3 linked regions of the Cricetulus griseus genome follow. The protein of the gene in region 1 purifies or fractionates together with the protein of each later gene. This does not show direct contact. Links are inferred from orthologs where the notes say so. Each region holds a gene or a part of one and is shown on either strand. Other genes may lie near its edges.

Region 1 (3,649 bases):
ATCCCAAACAGTAGTCAGCAGTGGCTCAGACCCAAAGGTAGAATCCTCCTCTTCGGCTCCTGGCCTGACTTCAGTGTCGCCTCCTGTGACCTCTACAACCTCAGCTGCTTCCCCCGAGGAGGAAGAAGAAAGTGAAGATGAGTCTGAGATCTTGGAAGAGTCCCCCTGTGGACGCTGGCAGAAGAGGAGAGAAGAGGTAAGGTGATGGTGATGGCATTCTTTGGAGAGTAAGTTGTAAGCAGTGAGAACTAGAGTAGCTGTACAAAGGAGCAGACCAGACTTGAGTAGGGTGGAGTTGGAAGATGCTCATATGGAATACTAGAATGGCCGGTTGGTGAGGTGACTTAATTCTATTTGAATTGCTTCTCAGGTGAATCAGCGTAATGTACCAGGTATTGACAGTGCATACCTGGCCATGGATACAGAGGAAGGTGTGGAGGTTGTGTGGAATGAGGTACAGTTCTCTGAACGCAAGAACTACAAACTGCAGGAGGTAGGTAATGAGGCCTGGGGGCATTGGAACCAGTATTTAAACAACTGTTGTTGTTGGGAAAGTGACTGTGAGGAGAGCCTTCATGGTTAGATCATCTGTGAGGAGAGCCTTCATGGTTAGATCATCTGTGGGGAGGGGTAGGGAATGGCTTTCATATACTACAGTGATTTGTGAACTTTTGTCTCTGTCTCTCTTGCCCCAGGAAAAGGTCCGTGCAGTGTTTGATAATCTCATTCAATTGGAACATCTTAACATCGTTAAGTTTCACAAGTATTGGGCTGATGTTAAAGAGAATAAAGCCCGGGTAAGATTTTTTGCCTAGTATTTCCTGAACTCTTTGCTAGAAAGCAATTTCATTTACTGTCAATTTTACATTCAGAGGTTAAAATGAGGTAATTTTGAGACAAGAACTGAAATACACAGCTGTGACAAGGAGAGTAGGGCTTCATCTGCCATCTCTAGCATTTTCCAGCTAAAGATGGGGAGAAATGAGTGAACATTTGCTTGCTTCTGTATTTTCAGTATGCTGTTAAGCCTAAGAAAGTGATAATAAAGAAAAGTTGAACACATGTATACAAAGTTAACTATGTATCTGGTGTAAATGTCACCAAGTGAGAGATAATGTCTATATTAAAGCCTTAACAGGAAGTGCTTTGTTTCCCTAGGTGATTTTCATCACAGAATACATGTCATCTGGAAGCCTTAAGCAGTTTCTGAAGAAGACCAAAAAGAACCACAAGACTATGAATGAAAAGGTATGCAGAGATGCTAGACATAGTTTTAGGCTGGTTTAGGGATTTAAAAAGATGGAGGTAATTATGTAGCTAATTAGGGAGGGATGGATTAGTGGGAAGGCTGAGAGAGCAAAGTATTGCTAGGTGTGGTGGCACATGCCTTTGGTTCCAGAGGCAGAGGCAGATAGGTCTCTTGAGCTCGAGGCCAGTGTGATCTTCATAGTTTCAGGACAGCTAAGGTGATATAGTGAGACCCTGGAGAAGGAGGGTGGTGGAGAGGGGAGAAGAAAGGAGGAGAGAGAGAGAATATTACTGCTGATCCTTGGACCAAACTCTTTTCTAGGCTTGGAAACGCTGGTGCACACAGATCCTATCTGCCCTAAGGTAAGTAATATCTGGTTAGTTTTTCCCCAGTCTCTCCTGATTTATTTTCTTAAACAGACTGCAAGGCACTACTCTGCTTTTCTAGTCTGCCTCTCCCCAGTTTCTTTGAGTCATGTGCTGACAAGATTAGCCCCGCCTCTTATGGGGTACTCCTAAAGTCCTAACCACTAGAGTAACCCTCCCTCATTCTCCTCCTGCTTATCCTATTTAAGTCACCTGGCTCAATAGATTCAGAGTACAGGGATTATCATTATGGTGACCAGGATGAGACCTGGCCCTTGCTCCTCTTAACCCTTGGGGTCCCCCTGCCCTTAATTTCCTAGTGGCCCCTCTAACAGCCCAGTGCCCCCACAGCTACCTGCACTCCTGTGACCCTCCCATCATCCATGGGAACCTGACCTGTGACACCATCTTCATCCAGCACAACGGACTCATCAAGATTGGCTCTGGTGAGGGGAGGGAGAGATTCTGGGCAGGGGAGCCTCGGGAATTTGGGAGCCATGGGGGTAAGGTCAAAGGCATAGGGAGAACAGTGAGTTTTGAGGTGTGGGCTGGTTATAAGAGAGAGGCTTTTAGTAGAGGTGATTTATAGGGAGAGACCAATTAGTGAGATGGGGTAGGGTATACAGTCTTATACTTCTTGGAGAGAAACTTGGACTAATACAGAGAAATTGAAAGGAGGCTGAGAAAGGGCAAGAGATGGAGATAAGGTCTGACTTGCGCCCTTTGGGCCAAACCCTACCAAAGAGGTTTCCAGACTGCCTGCTGTGAGTGCTTTCATTTGCTGTGTATTTGTGTGCAGTGACATTTCCGTGTGCCGTGTCTGTGTGTTGTTACCATTTGTCTGGGGCTTGGCTGCTCCATCGCTCACAACTTTTCTCTGTTTTCCTCCCTCCCGCTTACGGGCTGCTCTGTTCCCAACAGTCTTTCATAGGATTTTTGCTAATGGTGAGAGCTCCCTCTGCCCCACTTGGGGCTCTGTTTGTGCTCCCTTTGCTCCCTCTGCGGCTGCCCAGTGCATGCAGTCGTGGGAGCAAGGCCTGTTCCCTGCTTCCTGTCCTAATTATGCTTGCTTAAGCTTTTGCCCTGCCAGCCCTCCACCTGCTTGCCCCTTTGTAACCTGCTTGTTTCCTGTGGATTCTGCTTGGCTGGATACTTCCTCTTAGTCCTATTCCCCTTCATCATCCGGCTGGCTCCCTAAATCATACTGTGCTCCTAGATTCTCTGTGACTTGTGTCATTGCTACGATCAGAGTGAGTTCAGCTTGGGCCTGACCCTGGTTCCTCATTCAGTCCTGTGGTAGGTTTGATGTTGAGGGATAAAGTTTTAGACAAGAGTTTAAAGCTTTGGTGGATTAAAGGTGAAACTGATTTCAGGGTATTGGTTCACTATTGAATTATTTTTTTGAGTTTCCATCAACACAGATGGGTAAGGAACAGGCTAGCTCCTTGGTTGTATATTAATGCTGCTTTGCCTTTCTTATCCAGGTTCATGAGGTCTCCAGTTGTCCTATAGTAGGAAGGACTGCCTGTGTTTTTATGTTAATTGCAGGGCGGATGAATCAAATAAAACCTAGCATTTTCATGGCCTATGGATTTGATAGATCTGGGGCATTGGAAAGATGAGCAAGTCACAAATGAAAGTTTTTCCTTTGACTGTGTTACTTGATGAACCTAAAGCCTCAGTGTCTGTCTGTACAGAGTGTAGACTTTGTTGTTCCTGAGTTAGGGACCATAGGCTGCAGAAGGGGGAAGATAGGTGGTGTTCATATGTAGTCTATAGCTCAGCACTGGGAGAGTGGTAGGTTTGTGTCCATCGAGTATTAGAAAGGACACTTCAGGAGAAACATGGCTTTTGGAGCCTCTCTCAAGAGTCAGATCATGCTTTGGTGGTGGTCAGACTGTGGGTGTCTCCTACTCCTAGTGGCTCCTGACACTATCAACAATCATGTGAAGACTTGCCGGGAAGAGCAGAAGAACCTACACTTCTTTGCGCCAGAGTATGGAGGTGAATAGCCTTGCCCCCCTGCCCAGTCTCA
Region 2 (4,365 bases), on another chromosome or scaffold:
AGTAGAACTTAGTGGTATCTGCTGTGCCAAAGGCAAATTTATGTTAGTGGCTATCAAGGGAGATTGACTAACACTCTGAACCAAACTGCCATTTTGGGTAGCCGGGGGTTGTGCTATATTCTGTGGTGGAACTAAGTTTGGTGGGGCAGAAGGCATTCCAGCAGGACCAGCTGAACTAACCTGATTTGTAACAGAAACACTACTAGCAGAGGGCAAAGGACTACCTGCGGGCAACTGCTGGGAAACAACTCCTTGAACCACTGTTTCTACTCCCTGCGGCTGGGGAGGCACAGTTAACAAGGTACTCTGGGGTGCGATAACCAGTTGTTGAGGAAGGCTTGAAGCACTAGTTTGAACTCCCTGATGAATAATGCCAGCTGCAGCAGGTAGAACTACTTGTGAAGATGGAGGAGCACCTTGCTGGATAACTGAAGGTGTAACTTGGGTAGATGGCTGCTGGACTGCAGTAGGCATGTTTGCTTGTTGACCAATATTTGCAATTTGACTGCCAGCTGGTACAGCAGACACTGCTGTTTGAGCCTGGCCAATGGGCTGCCCAGATGCCCCTGCAGGTTGTGCTTGTACTGCTGTGGGCTGCACTGGCAGTTGGATCCCCTGTGGCTGAGCCACAGGAATCCCTGACGTTCCTGCTGCTGCTCCTGCAGAACTGGACTGTCCAGAGGACATCGCCACCTGAAGAATTGGCTGCTGCTGTACATACTCTGCAGTAGGATTTTGAGTCATTGACTGGCCATGGCCTGCAGCTATCTGTGTAGAAACCACTGGTTGCTGCTGCCCATACTGTAACTGTTGGGGTGGTGCCCCTGGAAGAGGAGTTTGCACTGGAGGACTTGTCTGAGAATACGGCAGTTGGGGTTGAGCCAAACTGGAAATGGAAGGCTGTTGACCTACAGCTGACGTTACACCAACCACATTGACGGAGGCAGGCTGGATACCGGCGGCTGCACTCATAGTGGCTTGCAGAGGTACAGGCTGAAGACCTGGCTTCTGCTGAAAGCTCAACTCTTGAGGCTGTAATTGTACTTGTGACATCTGTGACTGAGAAATACTCTGTGGTATACTAACTGCTGCAATACTCTGTGGACCAGGGCTACTGAAATCTATCTGCTGGAGGGCCACACCTTGAAGACCTGGTGGTGGTGGTGGTGGTGGCTGCGGCTGCTGCTGCACCACCACAGCAGGGGCTCCCATCTCTCCGCTTCCCACACTCTCTGTGTAGTGACTCAGTGTGCTGACACTACTGCTCACTGAACTCCCGCTGGTGCTCTCCCTCTCCGAAGACACTTCCGTGGGGGTTTGTTTCACAGTCTCCACCACTTTATTAATCGCCAAGCCTTCTGTAGCCGGCAGGGCATTTTCTTTTTCATAGAACTCAGTGCAAGTCCATCTACCTTTTTTAAAGGGCTCAGAGGTAGAGTCTAACTTCACAACTCTGAACCTTGACGTGTTAACTGTCGGTTGCTGTTGCTGCTGCTGACTTGAAACCACTCCCACAGTGATACCTGCAGCTGCATTAAGGACACTGTTAGCAACAGGAGAGGAAGACACAGTACCATTGCCCATGCCACTCAAGACATTCACATTAACAGCACTGGCAACTCCAGGCCCAACACTTACACTAGCAGCATTAGGAATATTGCTTGTACTTATATTAGCATTGCCATGCACGCTGCTCGTCACATTAGGACTGAAACTACCCACAGCAGCAATGTTAACATTACTCGTTGCATTTGTGCCAGCAGTAACCGAATTTATACCTATGCTGCCTGTAGTACTTGGAGCCCGGATGTTAGTCATCACAGATGCGGGCAAGCCACTCGATGATACAGCAGAAGTAGGTGCAACTGGCACACCACCATCAGAACTTCCAGTGGTACAGAGTTTTCTGGACACTGGGCTCGAGGGTGGCCCTCCAGGGATGGACGAACTGGCCACAGCAGCATGGGATGAATGGTGGTGTCCATGGTGAAGGTGGTGCCCATGATGAATGTGATGGTGGTGATGGAGGTGGTGTGGATGAGCATTCCCATTGATCACAACGTTTTGTTGTGGGAGGTGAGGCAAATGAGACTGAGGAAGGTGGGGCTGGTTAGGAGAGACTGCCCCGGGTGTCTCAGCTTCCTGGAAGTTATTCAGAGTCTCTTCTGAGGAGCTGCGTTCAGGCTCACCCAAGTCAGTGGCCCTGGAAAGTGACACATCAAGGATCTCGGAAGAAGATAGGTCTTCTGTGTGAGACTCATCCAGATCGTCATAGCTCTCCGTGTCCTCTGCGATGCTGTTGTTAGAGCTGATGCTGGCAGAGATCTGGGCCGGAGTAACGCTAGTTATCTGGAAGCCACTTTTCTTTTTCATCTGAGTTCCGCCCGGCGCAAGAGGCTGTCCCTGCAGCTGAGCCTGCGAGAGGAGGTTCAGGCTTTGTGGAGGCGGAGGCTGTGGTCCCTGCGAGGAAGATGCAGCAGGAGGCGGCGGCTGGAGCAGCGAAGGAGGAGGAAAATCCTCAGAAGATGGAGCAGCACTACTGACGCCGGTACCTGCTGCATTGAGAGCAGAGGCGCTGCCACCACCGCTGCCCCTTCGAGGGAACACTGCCGGGTGCGCCATCTTCCTAGCACTAATGTCTGCAGCGGCGGCCGCCGCGGCAGCGGAGTCCGGCGGCTGGTGCATTGTGCTGGGTACCGGGGGGCGGAGGAGGCGAGTGCAATTTCCTTCTGCACCGTAATCTTTGTATGGAGAAGCCGGAGAGGAGAACAGGACCTGAAGCTCCGCCCGACGCGATTCCTCCTCCCTCTCCTCCTCCTTCTCCTCTTCTGCCGAAGGCGCCGGCTGCTCCTGCCTTGAGGGCTAGCTTCGGGAAGGGAGGATGAACCGGGTGAACCAGGTGGCTGGGGAACTGAAGGGGGACCCCTTCAGTCCTTCGCCATTCACTTTCCCCTCCACTCACACACCCCCCTTTATATTCCGCTTCACGTGGGGTGCGGGGCGGGAGGGAGGGGAGCCCAGGAGGGGGCGGGGGAGGCGAGGAGAAGCGAGAAATGCCCACCTTCTTTGGCCAACTCCGGAGCCAGCTCAGCCCCCTCCTCCCGCGGCGGCGGCCACTGCAAAGCCCCGCCGCTCGCCCTGCACCGAGGCAGCGCGGAGCGAGCGGTCGCCCGGCCCTCGCCACCCCCGGCGCCGCGGCCGCCGGCGAGCCCCGAGCTCAGCGTCGCTCCAACCTCCCCTGCCGGCGCGGCCGGCCCCGCTCGGGCCTCCCCCGCGGCCCGCGGCCCCTCTCAAACCCCCTGGGCTCGCGACGGCTGCTCCGGGAGGAAAGACTGGCCGCGGCTGGGACCCGGGCGGCGCGGCGGCGAGCGGGAGGCGGCGACGGCGACGGCGGCGGAGGGGCCCCGGTACGGTGAGCCCAGCAACGCGCGCGCGGGCGGCGCGCAGAGACGCCGGGTCCTCGCGGAGCGCGGCCGGGGCGCGGCGGCGGCAGTGGTGGCGGCGGCAGCGGGAGCCCAGGGACCGCTCCATCACTGGCAGCCATGGAGCCCGAGCATTTTCCTCCCTCGGGGTAGGCGCTCGGCTCCGGCACACGTCCTCAGGGAGGAAGAGGGCGCCGGCGCCCGGGCTGCTCCGGCGGGCGGCGGGACGTGCGCGGGAGCGGAGGGGCGAGCTCGCGTCCTCTTCTCAGCCCGCCGGCTGCCTCGGCACCGTGCTGCTCCCGCGGCCGGGAGGGAGGGAGGGACGGAGAGGGGGAGGTAGGGAGGGGGGCCGCGGGCGACGGCGACGGCGGCGGCGCGGCGGTGGCGGTGGCTCCTTTCGCGGTGGTGGTAGCGGCGGCGGCGGCGGCGGCCAGACGGGGCTGGTGCAGCGACTGCAGCCGACGCCGTTCAAAGAAATGAGAGGTGGGGTTGGTCGGTGGCGGCGCGGGGCGGGGGAGTGGGAGGGCGTCGGGCGAGGAGGGGGCTGCGGTGGTTGTTACTAGTGCTCTTCTCGGGCTGCTCGGTAGCCCCTGGTCTCTCGCGGCATCAAGAGAGGAGGGACCAGCGCCCCAACGCGAAAGGAGGAGGGTCGAGCGCCGACCGAGTTGAAGAAGGAGGAGGAGGAGGAGGAGGAGGAGAAGGAGGAGGAGGAGGAGGAGAAGGCGGCGGGGGGAGGGGTCGCGGAGGAGAGGAGGGAAGATGGCGTCTGCGCGTGCGCGCCGCGCGGCGCTGCAGACATAAAGCCGGGTCTGACTAGGGGAGGCGGCGGCCTGTCTTCGGGCTGCGCCGAGCTCTCGGCGCTGTCTCTACGGAAATTGCCGAAGGCCGGCGGAGCGGCCGACGCCTGAGGGCGGTGGGGGGTGGGGCACTTGGGCGCGCGAGC
Region 3 (2,732 bases), on another chromosome or scaffold:
GGTCCACTTAAAGTGGGGGCTTGGGGGCACTTCTGTCTCTAAAATAGCCCTGTGACTAGTTTTTTTAGCAAGCAGCTTTCCATTGGAATATGATCCTCTGCTGTCTATCCAACATCTTAAAATGTTCTTTCTAAGCTTTGGGAGGAAAGAACATTTGCTATACGAGTTGGGAAAGATACTTTTCCCACCCCAACTCCCACAGGCCCAGTCAAGATACAGTAGAAACATTGAAAGCATGAGGAGAAAATTGCTTTAAAAAAAAATATATAAAAGCCATTTATTATTTATAAGGCACCCAGACAGTCTAGAACTAAGTAAAGTAATTCTTTGTTTCTCATAACTCTTTTGACTTTCCTGATTTTGTTTTTCACAGGATCTGGTGAAAAGCCATTTGATGTATGCAGTAAGAGAAGAAGTGGAAGTTCTAAAGGAGCAAATAAAAGAATTAGTGGAAAGAAACTCTTTACTTGAACGAGAAAATGCACTGTTAAAATCTCTTTCAAACAATGATCAGTTGTCCCAACTCCCAGCCCAACAGGCCAATCCTGGTAGCACTTCTCAACAACAAGCAATGATAGCACAGCCTCCTCAGCCAACGCAACCTCCACAGCAGCCGAATGTTTCCTCAGCATAAAGCTTTCTTAAGCCTCATTAAGGAAAAACCGAAAGCAATCTTTCCTTGTGTGCCACTGGTGTTCTATCCACTTTATAGAAAGCAAGTAGCCATGCTTCGGCTGTGTGCTTGGCCTTTTCAGTATTAGACAATCGTTCTACAGGAGCTTTCCCTCTCTAAGATGTCATGCAGCACTGTTGATGTCCACTTCTATGTCATCAGTACATGAGGAGAATAATAGACGGGGTTTATTAAAGCAAGCAGAGTCTACATTCTACATGTGCGCATGAGTGGGATCTTTAAAATTTTTGGTGGCTCTTCCATGTTTCTTATCACCCATGGATTCACCTTGAGCCTTCCTGTCACATAAATAACAGTTCATCTAAAGAGCCACTTTTCTTTCAATATCAATAACATTTGCCTACGTAAGTTTTCATTTATTTTGTGTTTTATTTATTACAGGGCTGCTATTTTCATAATGTACATGAACAATGTCACAGAACTTTTTTAATTTTTTGAATAATTATAAGTATCAGTAAAGGAATTGAAAGACAGGATTACATTTAATAAATAAAACGTTTAGGCAATAATTGAACAAAAGAATCCTGGCACATTTCTAACACTAATGGCAATTTACCGTTGGTATTTATTTTCAATAGTAAAGATCCAGCTTGAATGTAAATTTTGTATAGTGTAAGTATGAAAAACACAGTGCACCTGTACAGGTAGTCACCAGTTATTGTGATATAATAAATAATTGGGCTATTTTCATGAAGAAAACTTTGTTCATTTGTTTCTACTTTCTAATAGAAATTGCCACGATTCCTCTGCTTTTCAACATTTCGTATGACTTTTTTTTTTTTTTTTTTTTTTTTTTGGGTGGGAATAAAAAAAGCTGTGAAATTGTTCAACCTACTTTGTAACCAAAGAAGCAAAGCTGTGTAATGGAGTTTTGTTTTGTTTTATAATGCACATTCTTTATGTATTTTTATTTAGTGTTTTCTTGGTCACAATTTTCTTTGCTGTCTAGCATGATCTGCATGGCCTGTAATCTTTGAACCACTTTCGTACCTCATGTTTTTATCCAGCACTCTTATTGTACTGTGTACTAGTCTGTGAACAATGTCAAATAAAAAGAACCAACAGGTCGTATGGTGGAGCTGAGCTAGTGTACAATGCACCAGTTGTACAAAAACAAAAATGAAGTGAGCCATCTTTTGTTCATTTAAAATGGTGTTTTGAATTTCATATGCAGAAAACGTTTTGTTACATTGCAAATTTTAATGTATTTAATAAATGCAACATGCAGATTAAGTGCAGTGTATACTGAGTATTTAAATTAAAATGTACATTTCATAAATACAGTTTCAAGAGAAAGCATCATTTTGTGTATACTAACACATTAAGTGTATGTCAGAAATTGATGTAAAAATATATATTTTAACACATTTTCTGAAATTAAACTACAGTTTTGTTCAAATATTTGGCTCTATATGTGTTCAGAATTTGACTAGATTTGTATTTTCACGGTTTAAAATAATTTCTTAAGTGAAAACCCATGATGTTATTAATGACAATGATAGTTCTTAAATTTTCAAAGTAAAATAATTTAAAGAACACAAGAATGGTGAGCAATATTTGTACTCAATATTCATATTATGTTAACAATATAAATAGGAAATCCTCGTCTACCAAAACTTTTACTTGAATTCAGAAAGGTGCCTGTAGAAATGAACATGTCCTGTATTGGTAGCCTACTAGCTCATTCAGTCTTATTGAGAAACAGTGGTTAACTCTCCATCTTAGAAGAGGTTAAATGTTCTTTATTTATTTGAATCATTCTAGCCTCAAACAAAAGTCAAAATTGAGACATACATGAGATTACCAAATATTTTATATTCTAGTTGTGCTATGGGAAATAATGCTCAGCAAAACTTTTATGTTAATTAGTAACATTAGAAATACTTAAAAGAACTAGATAAGTATATAGACTTGAGTATGTAATAACCCTAAGGATGCAGAGTGAGATTCTAGTAGAGCCACTGTGGGCAAGATAGGATGTGAAACTGCTGTTGGTATGTGAACCCGAAGATTCTCTTGGTGCCCTTCCAATGCTAAT

Evidence for each region.
Region 2: the proteins of Nrbp1 (region 1) and TSC22 domain family protein 1 purify together in Homo sapiens (affinity purification with mass spectrometry; 6 studies listed by BioGRID and IntAct, with this or other methods). This does not show direct contact. The link is inferred for Cricetulus griseus from reciprocal best matches to the Homo sapiens genes NRBP1 and TSC22D1.
Region 3: the proteins of Nrbp1 (region 1) and Tsc22d2 purify together in Homo sapiens (affinity purification with mass spectrometry; 5 studies listed by BioGRID and IntAct, with this or other methods). This does not show direct contact. The link is inferred for Cricetulus griseus from reciprocal best matches to the Homo sapiens genes NRBP1 and TSC22D2.

Annotation. Positions count from the first base shown.
Region 1 is NC_048600.1:13,143,817-13,147,465, reverse strand, and holds part of Nrbp1 (nuclear receptor-binding protein), read left to right. Parts: coding exon 1-196; intron 197-370; coding exon 371-493; intron 494-695; coding exon 696-797; intron 798-1,158; coding exon 1,159-1,248; intron 1,249-1,570; coding exon 1,571-1,611; intron 1,612-1,965; coding exon 1,966-2,060; intron 2,061-3,534; coding exon 3,535-3,618; intron 3,619-3,649. UniProt on the Homo sapiens protein: Required for embryonic development. Plays a role in intestinal epithelial cell fate and proliferation, thereby involved in the architectural development of the intestine potentially via the regulation of Wnt-responsive genes.
Region 2 is NW_023276807.1:230,794,012-230,798,376, reverse strand, and holds the start of TSC22 domain family protein 1, read right to left. Parts: upstream 2,912-4,365; 5' UTR 2,686-2,911; coding exon 1-2,685. UniProt on the Homo sapiens protein: Transcriptional repressor. Acts on the C-type natriuretic peptide (CNP) promoter. Acts to promote CASP3-mediated apoptosis.
Region 3 is NW_023276806.1:93,081,198-93,083,929, reverse strand, and holds the end of Tsc22d2 (TSC22 domain family protein 2), read left to right. Parts: intron 1-373; coding exon 374-634; 3' UTR 635-2,093; downstream 2,094-2,732. UniProt on the Homo sapiens protein: Reduces the level of nuclear PKM isoform M2 which results in repression of cyclin CCND1 transcription and reduced cell growth.